5 linked regions of the Coturnix japonica genome follow. The protein of the gene in region 1 binds, or shares a complex with, the protein of each later gene. Links are inferred from orthologs where the notes say so. Each region holds a gene or a part of one and is shown in the gene's direction. Other genes may lie near its edges.

Region 1 (3,900 bases):
CAGCAATTTTCTTCTCCTGTAAACAGTTGCTTTAGGGAACACTTACTGCTTGAGACATAAATGAAGAAAATATGTTGGCTTACTCCTATGAATCACACAGTACTATGGCTTGCAAAGACTTGATGGTGGTCCCAAGTCATTACCTGTGCAAAAGCAATTAGAGATGATAAAAGGTTTTGAAAAGCTACAGGGTTTCTTTTCATCAGTACTCCCTGGCAGAAAGCACAGTGGAGACTGTTAGCTGAGTTTGTCTGCTGTTCTCTGATGTAAAGCTGAAGTCTTAGAACTATGGGTGCTGGAAGGAGGGATGAAGTGGCTAAGTCACTAGGTACAGTATAGAAATTCTGATTAAAACAAGTCATGTTAGCAGGAGTTAAACAACAGTAACACTTGTATTTAAAGAGGGAGACAGAATTCCTGAGCCACACATCTGAAGCAGGCAAACTGTAGGATGAGATTATTAAAACTACAACAACTGATTGGAATGTTGTGGGCTTGAATTTGTTTCCCACGTTCACCTGCTTATCAAATCATTCTGGAGGGGGGATACCTCCCGGTACTGCTTTGCTCTCTGTAGAAACATGTTGGTGTTACATGGTCCATAGGTAGATAAAGCCGATGTTGCAAGGGCAGGGTTCAGCGCACCCATCAAATAGGAATTCAAAGGTCAGCTTAAAGTAACTGAATCAAATTTGGTTAATATATGACATAGTTTCAGCATTCACAAAGTTCTGCCCACCGGCAGGAAAACTAAAGGCTGATTGTGAACCACGTGGTGCCTCAGTCAGCATCCATTTTAGGTTCAGTGCTGTGCGAAGGGTAAGTCTGTGTTACTTCATTGTGCAGTACTGCTGACAAAGGCTAGCTGCAGCATGGGCAACGTATTGTATTAGCTTCCACTAAGAAACGATAGCTTGCATGGCTGGAGCCTTTCAAACTGTTTGCGCTGGTGTAGTGGAGCAAGTGGGAGTGATAGTAGGTTGCTATTCATTTCACACACTAGTGGTCTGTGAGCTCCCCACCCTGATTCCGTCATCAGCTCCTGATTTCCTCCTCTCCTATCCTACCAGCTGAGGCTGTTCCCCTTCTGTTAGATTTGGGCATTGACTACATCACTGCTTGGGTAACAACAACATCATCCTCATCCTCAATACAAAACATGCCACAGTGATAGCTACTATGGAGAACATTAGCACTATCTCGGTTGAAACTAGGATAGGAGCCTCCCTCCCTGTGTCCTGTTCGGGTATCTGCATCCTTAGGGACTACAACCCTAAGCCACAATCACAAGTGATGTTCTGCTTATCTCTGGGTTGAAAGATGTGGTGCTAAGAAGCACTTAAACCAGATGTCAGGCCCTGCTTTTCTGAAACCTCTGTCAGGATCATGCAGCCCGCTTCTGGTCGTATGCATTTTGATAGTAGATTTCTCCCATAAAAGAAGGAGCTAAACTGGAAGTTCACTGGACTCTTGGAGTTAGCCTGGTTGTAAGCATGGTGCTGCATGGAGACTTCCAAAGGTCCTTTCCCATCTGACTCTTTGTGAGTGTAACCAGCATCCTGATCAGGTACAAGTGAGAGCTGCAGACATGTTCTCAAGGTATTTTGTTCTCTATCTCTAAAATTCCAGTAGAATTCCTGGTTTGGCTTCTGGCCATACTATGTGTCACTGCCAGGAAGGCTCCCTGTGTTGTTGTGTATGTATGATGTCCTGCTTCAGAGGTTGCTTGGCAGTGCTAGGAAGTCTGAAGAGTAGAAAGAGCTTAACAGGCCAGAAATAACTATTTCCTTTGCCATGTCTGCCTTTTTGTTTTAATTCTCACTTCCTACATCCCTGCTTAGGCCCAGAATACCATTAAGAGCCTTGAAGGCCTTGAGGCACTAGAGCAGCTATCAACCCTGCACCTGCGTGATAATGAGCTTGGGACCCTGGATGGATTCTCTAGCAGCATGAAGTGCCTGCAGTACCTCAATCTACGGTGGGTCCTCCCTGCTTTGTGTCAGGACTAAACAGCAGTTAATCAGGCTGTACTCCTATCTTTAGGATTTTCTGCTTTCTCTAGAAGCTGGAGACCTGATGGGTACAGGTTGGGTTCATCTTTATTGCTTTTGACTGGTGTTCAGGGCTCAGTTTTCTACCAGTTTCCCACCTCTCAGTAAAGATCTGCCCCTCCAGTTGCTCTCAGACCCTACACCATACCTTTAAAATCTTGCTGTTACTCTTTGTTCCATCCCCCTCTGCTTCTCCTCCATGTCCTGGCCATGACCACCAGTGTCCTTTTCTTCCAAGCACTTGCTGTACAGGGGGTTGGCATTGTCAGACATTTCAATGCACCGAACACAAAGAAATCCTTATTGTTATGACTTATACGGATCTTTCTCCTGCACATTGTGCTGGCTTTTCTTTAGGAACAATGCGATCAGTAGCTTGCAGGAAGTGGCAAAACTGCAGGTGCTCCCCATGCTGCAGGTCCTGGTGCTGATGGACAATCCATGCGCTGACGATTCAAACTACCAGCAGGAGGTTCTGGACCAGCTGCCAAACCTGAAGCGTCTCGACAAGGAACCAGTTGAGCAAAATTAGCGTACAGAGGCGAATGGAATCTGTTAGAAAAGGCAGGAAGAAGAAAAGGTATGAACGAGGATGTGAAAGACATAAGATCAGATGTGCTGTTCAGCCCCTCCTCCTTTGGGTTGCATGATGAAATAGCTGAGGGAGGTCAGTCCCAAGGGCAGAGCAGCCTGCAACAGAAAACAGGCTTCACAGCCTGATGGCCATCCCTGGTCCCAGCAGCACAAGTGAGGGGTGAAAGAGGAAAAGAAGCCAGGCATGGAGTCATTTCAGTTCTCCCTCTTTCCTTCTTCAGGAAATGGAGGTACTTCTCCAGGGTGATGTGACCAAGTGACCACCAGTTCAAATCCCTGTTCCCTGTGAAGATGTGGGGATGCATCTATCCATAGAGCAAAGCTACAGATACGAGGTTCACCTCATTTTGCCTGAAGAAGAGAGGAGTGTCCTGGCTGCTGCCTTCAGTTACCGCAGTGTTTTTACAGTCTCTGCACGTACATACTCCAAGTAGTCCCAAGAGGGGAAAAGGGGGGTTACAAACGTTGTGCTTTGATTTATGGCTCGCAGAAATTCTACGTGATTTTCTTATTTGGATAAAAATCTGTAATGAGCCTAGAGTGTCTGCAATTGTTTATCCTGCCCACCCACTCCTATTCCCTATCTCTCTCGCCCTCATCTGTCTGTGTCCGTCCCCTGTCTGTCTCTCTCTCTTTCTCTCTCCATCCTCTACGTGCTGTTTGCAAAGCTTTGCTAAATCCTGACTAATCGCAGCTTTGGGTCACATGCTGTTGTCCCGGCCCTATCAGGGGCGTCTCCATCCTGCTGCTGCCGCCGCCGCCGTTGGCTTAGAGGACACATCATCTCCCCTTGAGGTCCTGCATCCCTTCTCAGCTCCGTCCTCTCTCCTCTCTACCAGCACTTTCTCAGTCTCTCGTTCACCCCTGCTTTAGGAAGGTAAGTGTCCCCCCCCCCCCCCCCGTTGCCAGCCGCCCCCTCCCCTCACTGCATGCGTGCCTCTGCTCCCCGCTCCGTGCCCTCCAAACCCTACACGCACTTGTGTCCCTGTAGGAAAGGACCGTAGTGAGCGGAATTAGCGATTAAACTCCTCTCACTTCCTCCACCTGCTCCTCCCACCCGTTTCTCCTCACCCCCACCCTTCTCACTTCTCTTTCCTATTTTAATTTCAGGTACTCCCTCCTTCCCCATCCCCGGCGAGCATCAGTTCAGATACGAGGCTGGGGAAAGGGGAGAGTTGGGGGGGGGGGCAACCGACAAGCATAGGGGGCTGCTTCCAAGGGCACTGCGGGGAGACGCTGAGATGGAGCTCTACCT
Region 2 (4,486 bases), about 110 Mb from region 1:
CTTTTTTCCAGTGCTCCAATCCAAATCATTCACAGATCAGGAGCACCAGTGCTTTCTCTGCTCCCATACAGAGATGGATTCATTGCCAGCCAAGGTAACTCAAGTGCTGTGTGCAGATCATAGACTTGAGCTGAGCAGTTCTTTGCTCCTTATGCCCTCTCTTACATACAAACACAGGATGTCCGAGCCACTAGGAGAGGGTTTCACAGAGTGTCCATTGCAAAAAGTTGATGTAGTGGAACATCCTATTACGTAGTTGCTTTTTGCCTTGTGATTTTTCTTGTGCTCCCCCATATCATGGCCTGCAAGGAGCTTCTCAGTCATTAGAGCCTTTTCTCATCACATGTCTCCCTTTTCTTGGGCATTTCTGCTGGGCTCATAGTGCTGTTTATAGAAAGAACGTGGCCTGTTTTTACTCATCACCCAATATTCTTTCCTTCCTTGGTGTTCCTTCTGCTTGCGTAGGTGATGGAACGTGCTTTATCATTCAGCAAGACCTCGATTATGTCATCGACCTCACAGAGGCAGATTGTGACCCTGTGTACAAGGTAAGGCCCACAGTGCTCATCCAGCTCCAACCCCCTGCTATGTGCAGGGTCACCAACCAGCAGCCCAGGCTGCCCAGAGCCACATCCAGCCTGGCCTTGAATGCCTGCAGGGATGGGGCATCCACAGCCTCCTTGGGCAACCTGTTCCAGTGCGTCACCACCCTCTGGGTGTAAAACCCTCCTAAGATCCAACCTAAACCTCCCGTCTCACTTTCAAACCATTCCCCCTTGTCCTATCACTGCCCACCCTCACAAACAGCTGTTCCCCCTCCTGTTTATTCGCTCCCTTCAAGTACTGGATGCCCACAATGAGGTCTCCCCGCAGCCTTATCCTCTCCAAGCTAAACCAGCCCAGTTCCCTCAACCTTTCCTCATAGCAGAGCTGCTCCAGCCCTCTGGCCATCTTAGTGGTCTCCTTTGGACCCACTCAAGAGCTCCACGTCCTTCCTGTGCTGGAGGCCCCAGGCCTGGATGCAGCACTGCAGATGGGGCCTCACAAGAGCCAAGTAGAGGGGGACAATCACCCCCCTGTCCCTGCTGGCCACCCCTTTAAATGCAGCCCAGCACACAGTTGCACTTGGCCTTATTGAACCTCATTGTGTTCTCCCACCCAGCTTTGTTGGCTTATTGCATTATTTCCCCCCCCCCTCCTTGTTTCAGGTCGCTCAGTGGGAGAAGCAGATCTACACGTGCTGCAGGGACGGCGTGGTGCGGCGGTACCAGCTGGGAGACCTGTAGGGGTTAATGGGGGGTCTATGATCAACATGGCTGTGTGTGTTATAGGGGATGTGAGCAACATGGCTGTGTGTGTTATGGGGTCTGTGAGCAACATGGCTGTGTGTGTTATGGGGTCTATGGGGTCTATGAGGGAGGGATGGGGCTGATGTTATGGCTGTTTCTGCTCATTTCTGCCCCTTCCAGCCCCTTTTTATCTGCTGTGAGGTGGATTTGGGTGTTAAATCGAGGCTGTGGGCTGAAATAAAGCCGCTTTCATAGAGTTTGTGTGGAGGAAAAGTCGGTGTTAATCTTAAAGCTCCGAGTGGGTTGTTTGGTACAAAATGGCGGTGGGTGGCGCTGAAAGAACTACAACTCCCATCGTGCTCCGCGCTAACGGAAACGGAAATATATCAGAGAGCCGGAAGTGCGGCCTACAGGCGTTGCCTTGGTAACCCATCCTCTGTTTGCGTAACCATAGCGAGGAGGCCGCCATGGGGCAGGATTACTACGCCGTGCTGGAGCTGGGCCGCCAGGCCACGGACGCCGACATTAAGAAGGCGTGAGGGGGGGTGGATAGACGTGGGTTGGGGGCGGGTTGGGGGCGAATGGCCGCTTCAATCCCAGCATGGGGCCTAGCGGGGGCTGTAGGCCTCGCTGTGCTCCTCATCCCGCAGGTACCGGCTGTTGGCCTTGGAGAACCACCCGCAGAAATGCAGGGAGCCGGAGGCGCAGGAGCGGTTCAGGCTGTTGGCGGAGGCCTACGATGTGCTGAGCGACCGTAAGCAGCGGGGATGAGTCCATAGGGTCACAGAATGGGGCTGGGTTACAAAGGCCCACAGTGCTCATCCAGCTCCAGCCCCCTGCTGTGTGTGGGGTCACCAACCAGCAGCCCAGGCTGCCCAGAGCCACATCCAGCCTGGCCTCATCCAGGCTGAACATCCCCCTCAGCCTGGCTCCGTCCTCTGAGCATTCCCATGTCCTCCTATAGACCCACAGCCCCACGTCCCTCCTGTGCTGGAGGCCCCAGGTCTAAATGCAGTGCTTCACATGAAGGGGACATTCCCTTCCTGCCTGTTTCCCTCTATTGGTGCAGCACTGCTGGCCCTATGTGCTGGGATTACTCATGTCCTGCTTTTCTCTACCACAACTCCCACCTCCTTCCCCTCAGGGCCGCTCTGAGCGCGTCCTTCTCAGTAAGATATCTGTTCCCCGTCTCTCCTTGCCCCATAGCTGTAAGGAGAGGCATCTACGATCGGTTCGGTGAAGAAGGTCTCAAAGGCGGCGTCCCTGTGGAGTCTGGCAGTGAGGATGCCTGGACTCCTGGTTATGTTTTCCACAACAACCCCGACAGAGTCTTCAAGGAGTTCTTTGGAGGACACAACCCCTTTGCAGGTGGGTGGCTGCTCTGCTGCCATCCATGGGGCAGCCTGTGCCCTTTTAGGGCTGTGCTCATCACCAGCCCCTGAACTTCTTCCTAACAGACCTCAAAGCCCCCTCAGCCCCATCCCTTGTTATGGGTGCCCCCAGCTCAGGCTGCCCAGGGCCCATCTGTGGCCTATGGCACCTCCAGGGATGGGGCACCCACAGCTCTGGGCAGTGCCGGGGTCTTACCACCCTCTGAGTGAAATATTACCATCATCTCATCTCCATCTCCTCTCTGCTACAAGTTTTGTTCTTTCATTCACACTGGGAATGTGGTTTGGAGCCCCGTATCCTCCATGCTGCCCCATGCAGAGTTCTTCACCAAGGATGGTGTGGAGGCGACGCTGCCCTTTGGAGGGCTGCGAGGAAGAGGTGTGATGAAGCAGGACCCCCCGATGGTGTGGGACCTCCATGTCTCCCTCGAAGACCTTTTCTTTGGCTGCACCAAGAAGATGAAGATCTCCCGCCGGGTAAGGACAGTGAGGGACCTTGTGCCAGGCAGGATGAGCTACACCTTCCCCCCAGCAGATTGCATTGCACCAGGGTGCATCCAGCCCGGCCTGGAGCTGTTCTGACAGCAGAGGTTTCCCTTTATCCCCCCAAACTCATCCACCCTGCAGGTGATGAACGAAGACGGCCAAACAAGCACCATCAGGGACAAGATCCTGATCATCGACGTGCAGCCGGGGTGGAAGCAAGGCACCAGGATCACATTTGAGAAGGAAGGAGACCAGGTAACCTCTGTGACCTGAAGTTGTGGGCTGGGCCCATAAAACCATTCCTAGAGCTCCTTTCCCACCCCCATCCCCCTTTTTAGGGCCCAAACATCATTCCAGCCGACATCATCTTCGTTATCCAAGAGAAACCTCACCCGAGGTTTAAAAGATCCAACGACGACCTCATTTACGTGGCCAACATCCCCCTGGGAAAGGTGAGGAGCAAAGGGAGGGGGCGTCCAGCTGCCTTTTGCCTTCAGCCAGCAACTGCAAAACATGCAGAAGGAGGATAGCGCCGGGTTCGGAGCCTCGGCCCCTTTGGTCCCTATGGGAGTTGTCCTTGGCACCATGGTTAATGATGGGGGGCTCTGTGTGGCCGCATCTGCAGCTCTTGGTCCTGCTCTGTGTCTTTAGGCACTGATTGGCTGCACAGTGGAAGTGAGGACGCTGGATGGGCGGCTGCTGAACATCCCCATCAATGACATCGTGCAGTGAGTGTGCAGATCTGCAGGCAGATGGGTGCTATGGGAGGAACCTCTGTGGGCTGCCAGCTGCTCCTCTTGGGTTTCTTGGGTGCTCCAAGAGCTTTGGGAGCAGGTTGGGGGCTCCCACCCTCAGCTCCCTCTCACTTTGCAGCCCCACCTACTGCAAAGTGGTGCCTGGGGAAGGGATGCCGCTGCTGAAGGACCCGCACCAAAAGGGCGACCTCCTCATCCAGTTCAACGTCTGCTTCCCCAAACGTCTCAGCCCCAACAAGAAGGTGCTCCTGAAGAGAGCGCTGCTGCCCTAAGAGCTGCTGCCACCCCCCGCTTTCCTCCCGCTGAGGCCGCCAGTGCTGAGAGTGAGGTACAAACGGGGCTCCCCGCAGCCCAACTCTGCTCCCCTTGTGTTCTGCTGCACCCATCACTGCTCTCCTCCCTTCCTTCTGCACTGCAGCTCTCCCCGCTGTTGGGCTGCTCCCCTTTGGCAAGAGCAGAATCATTGAGGAAGAGACCACGAGGGCTGGAACCCAACAGCAGCTCCGGACCGGGAGTAAAACCCCACCCTCCCCTCTAATAAAGAGAAGGTGACAGAACCCCAAGT
Region 3 (3,710 bases), on another chromosome or scaffold:
ACTTTCCTTCACTTAAAAAAAAAGTAGTAGTAGTAACAACAGCAATGTTACTTAAAAACAAAACAGAACAAAAACCACCAGATGACAAGAAAAGAAAACAACCGAAACAAAAAAGCAGTCCCAGGAGCCTTGTTCTGATGGAGCTGAACAACCTGAATTTACTTCCTTTATCCATCCTTTCAGATATTAAAATGATTTGATTTTATCTCTGCACGATGAAAACCTGAACTTCAGCTTAAACCAGAAAGGCTTACAAATTGTTACATTCTTTTCTTCCAATTTTAGTTTACATTCCTGAATATATATTTGTAAAGTCATTGCTTGCCTATTGATGAAGAAGTTAAGATAAATTTTGAAGAAATTCTAACAAAAATATGACTTCTTGGGTTAACAAAAGTCTTTTTCTTTGTGTGTTTTTGGGTTTTTTTTTGCTTTCTTCTTTGTGGGGCTTGAGGAAAGTAAGTTTTTAATAGTATCCAACCAGCCTTTGATTCAATCAAATTTCATGCCTGATTTTTCCACATGTCCCTTAATAGCCTGGGATGGATAGGGTACTGGATTACAGGCACCACGTGGAATAAAGCATTTTTTCAAAGCATGCTTTGAGCTAACACTTAGAGGCATGTTTTTGTTCAACAGAGAACTTGGACGCTTTTTGGATTCTTTTTGCTTCAGGGTTTTTTCCACTATTAAAGTGGAGCTTGCATACAAAGAGGGAAAATAGTAAATATTATAATTCCTAAGATTTAACATGGAACTGTTGCATTTTTTTGTTTGTTTGTTTTAGATTTGTCTATCAATCTTAACTGTCACTGCAAACCCATTTAGACCCATGAGCTCATATATACACGTAGACAGATAGCGAGGTTTGAGCTGTTGAGCGTTTTGGATACAGCTCAGACAACTTGGTGCAATCTTTCAACATTACAAAGTTGTGGTTTTTTTTTTTACTCCCGTTTATTACTTGAACTTTATTATTGTTTTGCTTTCACAACCTGCACTGTTTGATAAATCATAGAATCACCAAGACTGGAAAAGACCTCTAAGATCATCCAGTGCAACCGTGCACCTACCCACCTACCACCAGTATTTCCCGCTAAACCATGTCCCTCAGTACAACATCTAAGCATTCCTTGAACACCTCCAGGGATGGTGACTCCACCACCTTCCTGGGCAGCCCATTCCAGTGCCTGCCCACTCTCTGAGAAGAAAACTTTTCCTAATGTCCAACCTGTTATCTCCCCTTGTGCAACCTGAGGCCATTCCCTCTAGTCCTGTCACTAGTTATATGGGAGAAGAGGCTGATTTCCACCTCACCACAACCTCTTTTCAGGGATTTGTTGGGAGACATAAGGTCTCCCCTGAGCATCTTCTCCAGACTGAACAATCCCAGGTCTTTCAGGTAGTTATAGGTAGTTATATAGCATTAGGCTCACCGCTTGAGCTTCCTCTTCTCCAGAATGAACAATTCCAGCTTCCTCAGCCTCCTCATACAGCTAGAAATTTGATACTGAGAGCTAGGTAATAATGATAAAGCCTTCATTTCATTTTCACTCATTTTCTGTGGCTTGCAGTCTGCATTTTGTCATGATATACAAAAGATGTTAACGGCTCTGATACTGTTCTCATTCCTTCCTTGAACCCCTTCCAGTCCTTGCTGAGTTCAATGAAATATGCCTGCGAAATTTTAACAGAGGACCCAGAAGGTGGAGCAGCTCGTATTCCCTATGAAATGTTCTCATTCCTTTACTGCTATTTGGCTAGTATCGATGGAGACATACCATCTGAGGAAATCAAATCTTTCCTCCAAAAGATTAAAGAAGACGCGTAAGTAAAAGTTCAGGCATCAATTTTAAGTTACATGTTATCTCTGGATTCTCCACAGACCTCTAATTTTAGATGAGTCATCTGTCTTTGCTTGGGGTGCATCCATGATAGGAGTAAAGGTTGACTCAGGTTATATCAAAAGCGTACATAGTTATTTCCTGTAAGTGGAAAACCTTGGGGCTTTGAACTGTGAAATGATAAACTGTTATTTAGCCATCTCTGAAATGTTAAATTCACTATCTAGTGATGTAGCTTTCCCCTTAGGAAGCAATTATATACAGCTTTGTATCATCTGTGCACTACTGGTAGTGGAGCTATCAGCATCTTACGGGCTGCTCTTGGGACAAGGATCGTAAATAGGAGAGAAACTGGGAGCTCACACTTGAAGCCTGTGAACTTTCTGTTGTGTTTCTCCCCATGTTAGCTCTGCCTGAAAATTATGTGGGGGAATATGTAGTTTCTTCTTAAACAGTTCAGCTCTCCAGTTGTCATAGTATGAGATAAATATGGTAAACTGTTGTTCTTGGAATGCTCTTTGTGTTGGTTGCCTCCAGTGGATATAAAAGACAAAGCCTACTCATACTCCCACCTGACTTCATCCCGTTTTGGTTTTCATATCACATTAGGAACGCACAAGCACAGAAATGAACAATTTTCTTTCTCATCAATTACCAGAATGATTTCTAATTAGAATCATTTTTTAATAACAGAACTCTCAATTAATGTAACCCTCAACTGTATCTTACCCCACATACTACAGTTTATCACCTTGAAGTGTTGTTCTAAGACATTTGGTTCCTGTTCCTTTCCAGTGACCGACAAAATGGCATGGTACTGCTCAGAAACTTCCAGAGCCAGTCCTCATCATAGTTCTGATCAAGTCAACTCTTCAGCAGCAGACGGAGGTGGAAAAAATGAAGAAGTCAGTACAATACACAAAGAACCTCTACTCCAGCACACCTTTCCCTTTATATTTCATTCTTGAAATTGTCCTTTATCAGAGTGAACTGAATATGTAGTTATGTTGTTTTTTTTCACCTCTGAAATATTGATGCTCACAGCTTGGGAGTGGTACTTTCACTGATTTGTTTATACTGAATCAAATGTATTTCATGAATCTTTCTACCTAGACTTTATAAATAGAAAACTAAATTTAGAGAAGACTGGATGGATGCAACTTAACCAGTCCATTTCTTAAGTAAAGTAACAATTTTCTTCCTGTTTTTAACTCTTAAAAAGCACAGCTTGTCTTTTGACTGCCTTGTCTGCATAAACAAACTCTATAAAACATATAGTTTTGCCAAGCACTGCTCAAAGACCATGAAGAACCCTGTAGCCAAGACAGTAAAAAAAAAAATCAACTAGATTAATGACAATAGTTTCATCTAGTTCAATCTCTAATTTGGATTTCTCCTCATCATCATCATCATAGAATGGCCTGGGTTGAAAAGGACCACAATGATCATCTGGTTTCAGCCCCCTGCTATATGCAGGGTCACCAGCTACCAGACCAGGCTGCCCAGAGCCACATCCAGCCTGGCCTTGAATGCCTCCAGGGATGGGGCATCCACAACCTCCTTGGGCAACCTGTTCCAGTGTGTCACCACCCCTGTGTGAAAAACTTCCTCCTAATATCTCAACTAAACCTCCCCTCTCTCAGTTTAAAACCATTCCCCCTTGTCCTATCACTGTCCACCCTCATAAACAGCCATTCCCCTTCCTGTTTATATGTTCCATCTCTACATTAGCAGAGCTCTTCAGGATGTCTGTCACCACCGTTGTCAGCTTGACGTTGATCCTAAATTTCTTTAAGCACAACCTTTGGTAAGCTGCAAGCTGCAGCTGAAGGTAAAGGCCTTTTGGAGAACTCTAAAATCTGCCCT
Region 4 (4,279 bases), on another chromosome or scaffold:
TTTAGATGAGTAGAGGAAGCAAAACTGTGATTGAAGTGACTTTAGGGTGCAGCCAGGCAGGAGATGTGGTTGGAAGACTTACAAACATGAGATGTGAGGAGGCACTTCTATGGAGGGGTTGTATTAAATTAACCGATTGATTACAAGAGACTGAAGTGCATCTGTGCAGGTGCTGGGGGGTCAGGGAGAGTGTGTGGCAAAAGCTGTGAACATATGAAAGAGTGGGCATGAGGATCAGGAAATAAAATAGAAGAAGGTCAGCAGAGCATGCTGTAGATAGGAAGTTTGTTATTACTTAGAGCCTTGTAGAAATAAGATCTTTAAAGAAAGTAGTGAGGTAGCAAATACATGAAAGCAGAAATGAAGGCTTGAATTGTGTTAGTCAGAAGCAATATAAAGTTAGCTCGGATTACAGGCGTGTAGGCAAGCTGCAGCAGAGTCGTTAGCTGTAAGAAATGGAGCAGGGAACGGGCTCACAGGAGCGGAAGTTTGCTTGGTCACAGGATTTCCGTCAAAGACACTTTGCACTGCAAAAGCAAGCACGGCTGCAGCACGTTCTGCGTGTGGGTATCCCAGCCTTCATCGTAGGAGACAGAAGCAAATAAAAATGATGTCAGTGGTGGACAGAAGTTGTTTGTGTGGCAAATGAATAGCCAGTCAATGATTACTACTATTTTTTTGGAGTTCAAAGTTTGAAAACAGTATCTTTTCCTTAAGAACATCATTTCTTTGCTACTAGAATGCATCTGCAGCCACAATCTTGTTATTATAGTGTTATTATATTCCATGCCAGCCCAAAATAAGACAACCAAGGCTTGTTAAACTGCTTAACAGGTCAGATACAGCAGCAGAGCTGTGCCCGGAGAAGTATTCGGGACTTAAAATGGTTTGTTGCATTGTAATTAAAATTTCAGGTTTTGTTTGTTTCTTTTCTTAGCTCTTAATAACATCCCTGGGCTACAGAAGTTAGAGAGGACGCTTCAAACCAGCCTTTTAGTCATTAAAGTAGCTTTAAAAGCGCTACAAAGATACCATGCGTACAATAACAGTATCAACACGGGGTTAAAAGGTCGGGTCTATGGAATTTAAGGATTTAGAAGAAACCTTTGAGATACTCTTAGCGTGTAAAGCTACTTCTTTGTTAGGGAACACACGATGTTATTTTCTCTTAATGCGCGGGGTCCCTTTAAATGTGCAACTCTGCATTATTAAACGGTCGTGGGAAGTGTAGCAGGAGGAAACCCCGGGTAATTGGCTGCAGCTTCAGATGCAGCAGCTCGCTCATTGGAGAGCAGAGGATTCTCTGAGTTGCTAAAATTAGATGATCTCCACCCTCCAGAAATGCTTCTGGAAACAGCAAGGAGGAGAAATTGTGACACAGAAGGATGGGGAGTGCACGGGACACTGCTCATGGGGAGGCTGCAGCAGACAAGGATGCACGGACAGATATTGATGCATTTTTTTTTTCCTATCTTTTTTAACTGAGAGCAAAATGCACCCAGCTAAAGGAACTGCGAGAGATTAAAGTCAGCAGTATTCTGTGAGGATATTAAATTCAACGTTTTTTAAGTAATAATCGGAAATATTCACTGGGGCTGAGGGAGGCTTTTGAGCTGCTAAGCCTGGGGTCAGCCTGTCAGCCTTGTAGGCGTTTGGTTTGCAAAGAGAATTAACCCTGAACTAAAAGGAAAAATAGATGAACTCCCAGATCTTTCTAGGAATTTATTTCTCACAAAACACGTCTTTCCCTTATCTGTGAGCAGTTGCTGCATTTACAGTATCTCCGACTGCTGGTTGAGCTCTCTCTGTTTAAGAAGCCGACATGAGTGCTTGTCTCTTGGTCCATCTCACCCCAAGGGCTCAAATGGAACATTAATTCCAGCTGGATGTGACAAACAGATGTCACCCGGGATCCCATCACTGCTGGCAAACACACAGCAGTGGAAGAGGCCTGAATGTGAGGAGTCCATGGGCTGGTGCTGGCGTTATCGCAGCCACCGGGCTGTGCTGAGCCGATAGCAGCTGGCAGGCCTCAGCGGGGCGGCGGGCTGCTTGTTTCTGTGTTAAAACCGGGTAACACCGGGGACAAAATGCCTTTCAATCCAAAGTGCTGAGAAACTGTGTTCTAGAGTTGGGAATTGAGGTCAGCGCCCGCTCTGTTGTGAGCTGCGGGTCCGACGGGAAATAAACAGGAGGTGCCGTGCGTGCTGCCGCCACACGGCGAGATTTAAAGAACCTGCAGGGGGCTTTGGCAATGAAAAGTTTGTTTCTGTTCCAAAACACCGGTTCTACAGCGTAACCTCTGTTCATGAGCGTCAGCTGTGAGATATTGCTTTCAGCGTGGAGTAAAACCGACAGAAAGCTGTGTCACAGGATTAACAACGCATCAGATCCCCAAAACAAGCTATTTTACTCCTTTCCTTACGCTCTTATCACACCTAGAGCTCAGGAAAGAGGCAAATGAGATCCGGAAAGCGCGGTTGCCGAGGGTGCGGCCTCCCCCCGCTCAGGCAGCGCCGCTCCCGGCCGCCATTTCTGCTCCACCCCCGCACACGCACGCAGCCGCCCGCTGCCAGGGCACGGCCGCCATCTTGTGGCCAATGGCAGCTGCCCGCATTGCCCTGCCGGCACCTGGCAACGGGGCGGGCACGGAGGAGCCGTTGGTGACCGGGAGCTTTCCGTGTGTGTTTGCGTGTCTTCAGAGACTCACGGGCACGGAGGCCAAAACCCAGGGAGAACCGTGTCTCAGGAAACCATCCCACGTTACTTACACTATTCGGAGATAAACGTTGTCATCAACTGCTGTCGTTGTAGGGCTAAGAAGTTCTAATGCAGAAAGATGGAGAGGCTCATGCCAGAACCTCAGATTTTTGTGGAAAAAACACTGGCTCTCATCAAACCTGATGTTGTAGATAAGGAGGAAGAGATAGAGGATCTCATCCTCAGATCCGGATTCCTGATTGTTCAGGTAAAAAGCTGCGTTCCTGAGATAACAGCTGCAGTTGGTGGGTCACGTCAATGGTCTTCTTAACTTTCAGCAGTCAGTTCAATAATTAAAAGCTTCTGTTGCCCAAAAATCGGTTTATATTTTTCACGTCATCAACCACAACTCCCAGATTCCTCGAGGATACATTTCGTTGGTGTGTGACATGGAAGAGAACCCACCAGACTTCGCTGACAGAAGAAACCCCATACTTCCTTCATGAACTGGGTTCATTAACAAATGAACTCAAAAACAAAAAGCCTTCTTCCATGTCCCCCCGTGGGGTTGGGTTGGTCGCTGGGTGCCGCTGTCGTCCTCATCGTGTTTGCTTTCTTCTCTTCCTCCTCCTCCCCCTCCTAGTAGTGTGGAGGCAGCACCTTCGGCACCGAACTTTGAGGGCACTGGCTGAGCAGCAACCAGGCTTCTAGATACAAGTATTACATGTATATGCTTCCCTAAAACTGTCATCTTTCGTAAATGCCTTGAAAAGTTTGAAAAGAGTTTGAAAAGAACTTGTTCTTTTTTAATTTCTTCCTCTACATTTCTGTTTGTTTTAAGTATAGGAAATTCATCAGAAGATTAGAGTTGTGTGTGTGCGTGTGTGTGTTTTGTTTTCTTTCTTAATGAGAAGAGCTTTACAGTCATTAACTTTTGACATTGAGGCTGATAGGAATCTGAATGCTCAGCACTCTGTATCACATTAGAGCAGGCTCAAAGAAAGGAGTTTTTAATAAGTTAATTTCTCTCCAGGCTGCCCTGTGCCCTCTGCTGGATAACCTGTTACACCTGGCCTAATTCTGGCTACCTGCAGGCAGGATAGCTATAGTGAAAATCCTAAAGCACCGAATGAAAGAAAGAACAATTGTATAATTAATGCTGCGGGTATTAATTATAACACAGAAACCTCTTGGTTGGTTGCTTCTTTGTTTTGTTTTCTTTTCATTGTTTGTTGTTTCTGTTGTTGTTGTTGCTTTGTATCTCAAGGGGGACCAAATCTGAGAGAATCAGACTAAGCTGGGAAGTTACCCTGTACCTCTTCAGCTTGCACTTGAAAATGTGACTGCCTCCAAAGAACAGTGTGGTACCTGAGGTAGCAAACCAGCTCTATTTAGTAAACTTTTTTCTTTCTCTTCTCTTTTACGCTTTTCTTAGAAACGGAAGCTCCAGCTGAGCCCAGAGCAATGTAGCATCTTTTATGCAGACCAGTATGGAAAAATGTTTTTTCCTAATTTAGCAGCCTATATGAGCTCTGGACCTTCACTTGCTATGGTTCTTGCCAGACATCGGGCAGTCTCA
Region 5 (4,526 bases), on another chromosome or scaffold:
TATCAGACCTAAGGAAACTTTAAAGAGGAAGCCGTCTTGTCCAATTACTCCCATTCCACTTGCTCTTCCACTGCTGTCTATACAGACCATCTCTGGTTCCATGTCTTTATTTGCTACAAGGAACTGACCATAAACAAGGTCTCCCACCTAAAGCAAGCAGTGCCAGAAAACAACAAAAAAAAAGAATCATTAGAGAAGATAACAATGCACATTTGTAAGAAACATTCAGTCCATAAAGAGACAACAAAACAGTTGTAAACTGGATGAACACTTGGACAAGAACCAGCAGCGTACACTTGCAGCTCAGAAGGCCAATGGGATCCCAGGCTGGATCCAAAGAAAGATAGCTAGAAGGGTGAATGAGGTAACTGACCCCTTTATTCTGCCATTGTGAGGCCCCACCTGGGGTACTCTGTCCAAGCCTGTGGCCCCTGACACAAGACCATTGGAATGGGTCAGAAGAGGGCCGGAGCGCCTCTTGTGTGAAGAAAAGTTGAGAGAGTTAGGCTTGTTGAGCCTGGAAAAGGCTCTGGATAGACCCCATCGAAGCCTTCCAGTGCTTATAGGGAGTGACTTTTTATATAGCCTAGTAGTGACAGGACAAGGGGGAATGGCTTTGAATTAACAGAGGGGAGATAAAGGTTACATGTTAGGAAACAATTCTTTACTCAGAAGGCGCACCAGAAGCCATACCAGTCTATTCCATTTAAAATCACAGCCCATTTTACACCATGCTGACAGTGTTTCTGGTGAACGCACATATCACAAAACAACTTGTAAATGCTACAAAGCAAACCCTCCTCTACCAGCACCAGCGTTCAGAGGATGCTTTAAAGCCTCAGGGTGGCCCCTTGGGACCCACGTTACTGCACGAGTAGCACCTGCCACTGTTAACCGATGGGAAAGGTGTAAGGTCAGAAGTGAAGAAGCACAAAAAGCTCCGGAGAAAACAGAAAAAACTCACGGCCTCATCGGGACACCCCGTACAGGCCATGACAAAAGCTCTGTGAAAAAAGTCACGTTCCTCGTTTATATGGTCCGAGTGGTAAAAACACCGTTTACAAAGGCAAGCTCCCGGCGGGCAGCGTTACCTGCACGTTGGGCCTGTTCCTCTTGGTCGCGCCCTCGAAGGCCAGGTATGACAGCGAGGCCTGCTCGCTACCACCGACGTCCAGCCGGAACACGTCCCCCACCTTGCCCGTCACGATGCCGATAACGTGGTCTCCCTTCACCGGCACGTACTACAAGCGGGTACAAGCGATCAGCGGGCTCGTCCCGCACATCACCGCCCCCCGCCGCCCGCTGCCGCCGTACCCGCTTCTGCTGCGAGTCCACCCAGTAGGCGCCGCCCGCCGCCGCTCCGCCGCCCGCCTGCCGGTGCCGCAGCAGCCCGCACTTGGTGACCAGCAGCCCGCCCGCACAGCGCCGCAGCCCCGGCCCGCACAGCAGCCTCCCCCGCGGGGCCGCGCTGGTGCCCAGCGGCAGCTTGTCGAGGTCGGGCTCTCCGTGCTCGGGCAGCAGCAGCACATCGCCGGGCAGCACCACTTGTCCCACACGGGTCTCCGCCGGCACGCCGCCCCCACCCGCCATCGCGTGCGGCCCTTCCGGCGGAAGCAGACGCAAAATGGCGGCGGCGATGGAAGGGCCGAGAGCGCAACGACAGCGACACCGCCCGGCCGCCTGACGCAGGATCCAGCCGGGAGCGCGGTTGCCCGGTAACGCGGTTGGACGCGCTGTGCGATCGGGCCGGTAGGAGCGAAGCGGTAGGGAACGGGGGACAGCACCGCTACCACCTTCTCATATTAATTGCCTGATGAAATGAGCTTTGATAAAACCACCAACATCACACTGGGGATGTGATGCAGTCAACACTTCCTCTAACTGCTGTCTGAATTCCGATATCGGTGACTAATATCTGTCGGTTTGTCAGTAGGTGAGAATGGAGTCTCAATACCTGAGGAGATGTCTGGGAAGCTGCTTGAAAAAGGGTCTGGCGGAGGTTGTGGAGCGTCGGCCCGCTGACCCAATAGAGTACCTGGCACACTGGATCTACAACTACAAGAAAACACTAGAAGAAGAAAAGAAGGTGGGTCTACCTCGGGCAAAGCATTTCATGTCAATCTAACTGATGCTGTATAATCTCTCTTTGTGTTTTGTTTCCTTTTTTTTTCATTGATTTCTTGTTACCTCTGAAATAGAGAACGTTGGAAAGGGCCAAACTGGAAAAAGAACGGCAGGCAGCCCTGGAAGAACTTGAAATGTTAAGAAAAATGAAGGAAGAAGAGCTACTGATACAACAGAAACTTGAAGAACAACGGCAGGTTAATAGTTGTTCATAATTATAGTAGCGTGTGATGCTGGGTCAACTTGTAGCTCTCACTACAATAGTAGTCATTATCAACATAGAATCATAAGAGAATCAGAATGTTGGAAAGTACCTACAATTGTATTCTGATCTTGAAAGGGAAAAGATAACAAAAAGTGCTTAAACATTGCGTTTTGAAAATATCATTATTTCGAAAGGAATTAGAAAGGACAGCTGAGCAGCTGGGGAGAAAAACTTACCTGCTACATGACAAGATGTTACCAAAAATGAAGAGACTAAGCTAAAGAGAAACTAACTAAAGATATGTTAGAAAATTAGATTAGGATAAGTAGACTGTCTTCTGCAGTTAACTATCTTAGCTATTTTTTCCTCCCATAGAATCTATATGGATTAGTCTGTCTATAATAGATGCTGTGCAAAGCTTCAAAGAGCCTAATCCAAAGTATAGGAGATATAAATATTAACTACTAAAGAGCACGAGGAACTGAGTATCAAAAGCATATACGCTATCTTCAGCTGTCTTCTCTTTACAATAGGAACAAGAACGTGAGAAGATGGAACAGCAGAATAAAGAAGAGAACATGCAGGAGCAGCAGAAAGATCCAGAGGTTTAAGCCAAAGCTTAGTCAAGATAAAGAAATATTGTTAATCATCTCTCTTATTCAGATCCAGTCCCTAAATACAGAACACAAGGCAGAAGCCTTGAACACAACAAAACAGAAAGCTAACATTAGGGAAGAACGTTTAATGCTTCTTTCCAGCTTAGGTTTTAGACTTGAATTCTCATCTGTTCTATTGGGTTTCTTTAGCTTTTATTCAGAACAGAGCATAAAGTTATTATAAAATGTAGCTTAAGTTCAGATTTTTTTTTAATTAATAAAATACTAGAACTTGAACGTGTCTAACATGAATGCTTAGATAGTTACATTTTACTGCCTGGCAACGTGAAGCCCATTTGCCACACCTGGAAAAGGAACCAACACTTGGAGGTGGGATGCCTCTTGATTTTTTGGTCTTCCATATAAATACATAGTCATATGATGCTGTTTTGGTAAAACAGATTGATCATTGACACTTAGACGTGAAACATTTCCTAACTTTACTTGGAGCAGAATAGAGATATTTTTAGAGCACTGTGTTGAGATATTGATAGCACATAGCTAGAAGAATGACTGTAAATGTAACAGAAGTATGCACGTTTATAAACTGAAGCAAAAAAGAACCCTGAAACCTTTGTAAAAACAGTCTTTACATGCACAAAGACCCCATTTGCACACTAACACATTTGTGTAGCAAGCATCTGAAGTATTGTCTTTACATTCATACTTAAACTACATTTTCAAAGCATGTTCAAAGTATCCACTGTAGACGATTGCTCATGACACGGAATACTTCTAATTGAAAATGAATTTCCACTACAGGAAGATGAGAAGACAATAGCTGAACTTACAGATAGAGCAGGAGCACCTAATTTGCCCACAGTTGAGGAAGTAGATGAGAGTGGAGTGTCTGAGGTAAGTGTTTGGAAAGAAAAAGGTTACATGGAATTAATGCTCAAACATTTTCTTGCTGACAAATGGAAGACTAAGACTGTTCTAGTTAACCCTATACCGGTTCTTTACTACAATCTGAAGGGATATTATTTGGGCCACAGTCTTCATGCTGTCCTTAGGCTGTACATTCTGAAAGGCTGCTTATGTGGTGCTGAGTGAATAAAGTGCCAAAGATTTAAAATGCCCCTTTATAGTCATGTGTGTTATGAATGGATGTATTAATATTCTCAGACAAGAAGCAGCCTTCCTTCGCCTTTTGAGCAGGTGTCAAACAGGACACAGACTCAATCACAAACACTGTCTTGCTTCTGAATGAAATGACTTACATTATTCTGATTGGTCTGAAGTACATTGTTCATGCAGCAGAACGCAGAGATATCTGAACAATTATTTAATGTAAAAGACCAGGTACCAAGCGCACAGTGCTCAGTGCAGCAAAGACCTGCTAAGAATCAGGTTATCCAAACCCTGTGCCAGCATGACAGTACTTATTCCAAAACTACAACTATCAATCTAAATTGTGATATGCAGCCATCTTCTACACCCCTATTTTTTTATTCACTTTGTGCTTGACAATCCTAGTACATGAGAGGGTATAAATCAACTGTCATTGACTGTAAAGCATGGCAGTACATTAAACAGATGAT

Evidence for each region.
Region 2: LRRC23 (region 1) and DNAJB13 share a complex: the UniProt entries of both Homo sapiens proteins name them as parts of the axonemal radial spoke complex. The link is inferred for Coturnix japonica from reciprocal best matches to the Homo sapiens genes LRRC23 and DNAJB13.
Region 3: LRRC23 (region 1) and ROPN1L share a complex: the UniProt entries of both Homo sapiens proteins name them as parts of the axonemal radial spoke complex. The link is inferred for Coturnix japonica from reciprocal best matches to the Homo sapiens genes LRRC23 and ROPN1L.
Region 4: LRRC23 (region 1) and NME5 share a complex: the UniProt entries of both Homo sapiens proteins name them as parts of the axonemal radial spoke complex. The link is inferred for Coturnix japonica from reciprocal best matches to the Homo sapiens genes LRRC23 and NME5.
Region 5: LRRC23 (region 1) and DYDC1 share a complex: the UniProt entries of both Homo sapiens proteins name them as parts of the axonemal radial spoke complex. The link is inferred for Coturnix japonica from reciprocal best matches to the Homo sapiens genes LRRC23 and DYDC1.

Annotation. Positions count from the first base shown.
Region 1 is NC_029516.1:69,563,013-69,566,912, forward strand, and holds the end of LRRC23 (leucine-rich repeat-containing protein 23), read left to right. Parts: intron 1-1,841; coding exon 1,842-1,978; intron 1,979-2,408; coding exon 2,409-2,583; 3' UTR 2,584-2,631; intron 2,632-2,866; 3' UTR 2,867-3,183; downstream 3,184-3,900. UniProt on the Homo sapiens protein: Essential for sperm motility and male fertility. Plays an important role in the proper assembly of the third radial spoke (RS3) head and the bridge structure between RS2 and RS3 in the sperm flagella.
Region 2 is NC_029516.1:175,177,483-175,181,968, forward strand, and holds the start of DNAJB13 (dnaJ homolog subfamily B member 13), read left to right. Parts: upstream 1-1,647; 5' UTR 1,648-1,756; coding exon 1,757-1,824; intron 1,825-1,939; coding exon 1,940-2,043; intron 2,044-2,495; coding exon 2,496-2,657; intron 2,658-2,999; coding exon 3,000-3,157; intron 3,158-3,307; coding exon 3,308-3,421; intron 3,422-3,504; coding exon 3,505-3,618; intron 3,619-3,817; coding exon 3,818-3,894; intron 3,895-4,039; coding exon 4,040-4,193; 3' UTR 4,194-4,249; intron 4,250-4,334; exon of another isoform or gene 4,335-4,339; 3' UTR 4,340-4,486. Other genes in the region: PAAF1 (proteasomal ATPase-associated factor 1), read left to right, coding at 12-94, 466-548, 1,209-1,286. UniProt on the Homo sapiens protein: Functions as part of axonemal radial spoke complexes that play an important part in the motility of sperm and cilia.
Region 3 is NC_029517.1:52,312,400-52,316,109, forward strand, and holds the end of ROPN1L (ropporin-1-like protein), read left to right. Parts: intron 1-1,651; coding exon 1,652-1,827; intron 1,828-2,639; coding exon 2,640-2,697; 3' UTR 2,698-2,995; downstream 2,996-3,710. UniProt on the Homo sapiens protein: Functions as part of axonemal radial spoke complexes that play an important part in the motility of sperm and cilia. Important for male fertility.
Region 4 is NC_029528.1:3,795,413-3,799,691, reverse strand, and holds the start of NME5 (nucleoside diphosphate kinase homolog 5), read left to right. Parts: upstream 1-1,364; 5' UTR 1,365-2,839; coding exon 2,840-2,968; intron 2,969-4,135; coding exon 4,136-4,279. UniProt on the Homo sapiens protein: Functions as part of axonemal radial spoke complexes that play an important part in the motility of sperm and cilia. Does not seem to have nucleoside diphosphate kinase (NDPK) activity.
Region 5 is NC_029521.1:3,510,869-3,515,394, forward strand, and holds the start of DYDC1 (DPY30 domain-containing protein 1), read left to right. Parts: upstream 1-1,633; 5' UTR 1,634-1,715; exon of another isoform or gene 1,716-1,763; intron 1,764-1,930; exon of another isoform or gene 1,931-1,933; 5' UTR 1,934-1,939; coding exon 1,940-2,086; intron 2,087-2,198; coding exon 2,199-2,321; intron 2,322-2,862; coding exon 2,863-2,934; intron 2,935-3,747; coding exon 3,748-4,038; 3' UTR 4,039-4,526. Other genes in the region: EXOSC3 (exosome complex component RRP40), read right to left, coding at 1-147, 1,092-1,241, 1,315-1,590. UniProt on the Homo sapiens protein: Functions as part of axonemal radial spoke complexes that play an important part in the motility of sperm and cilia. Plays a crucial role during acrosome biogenesis.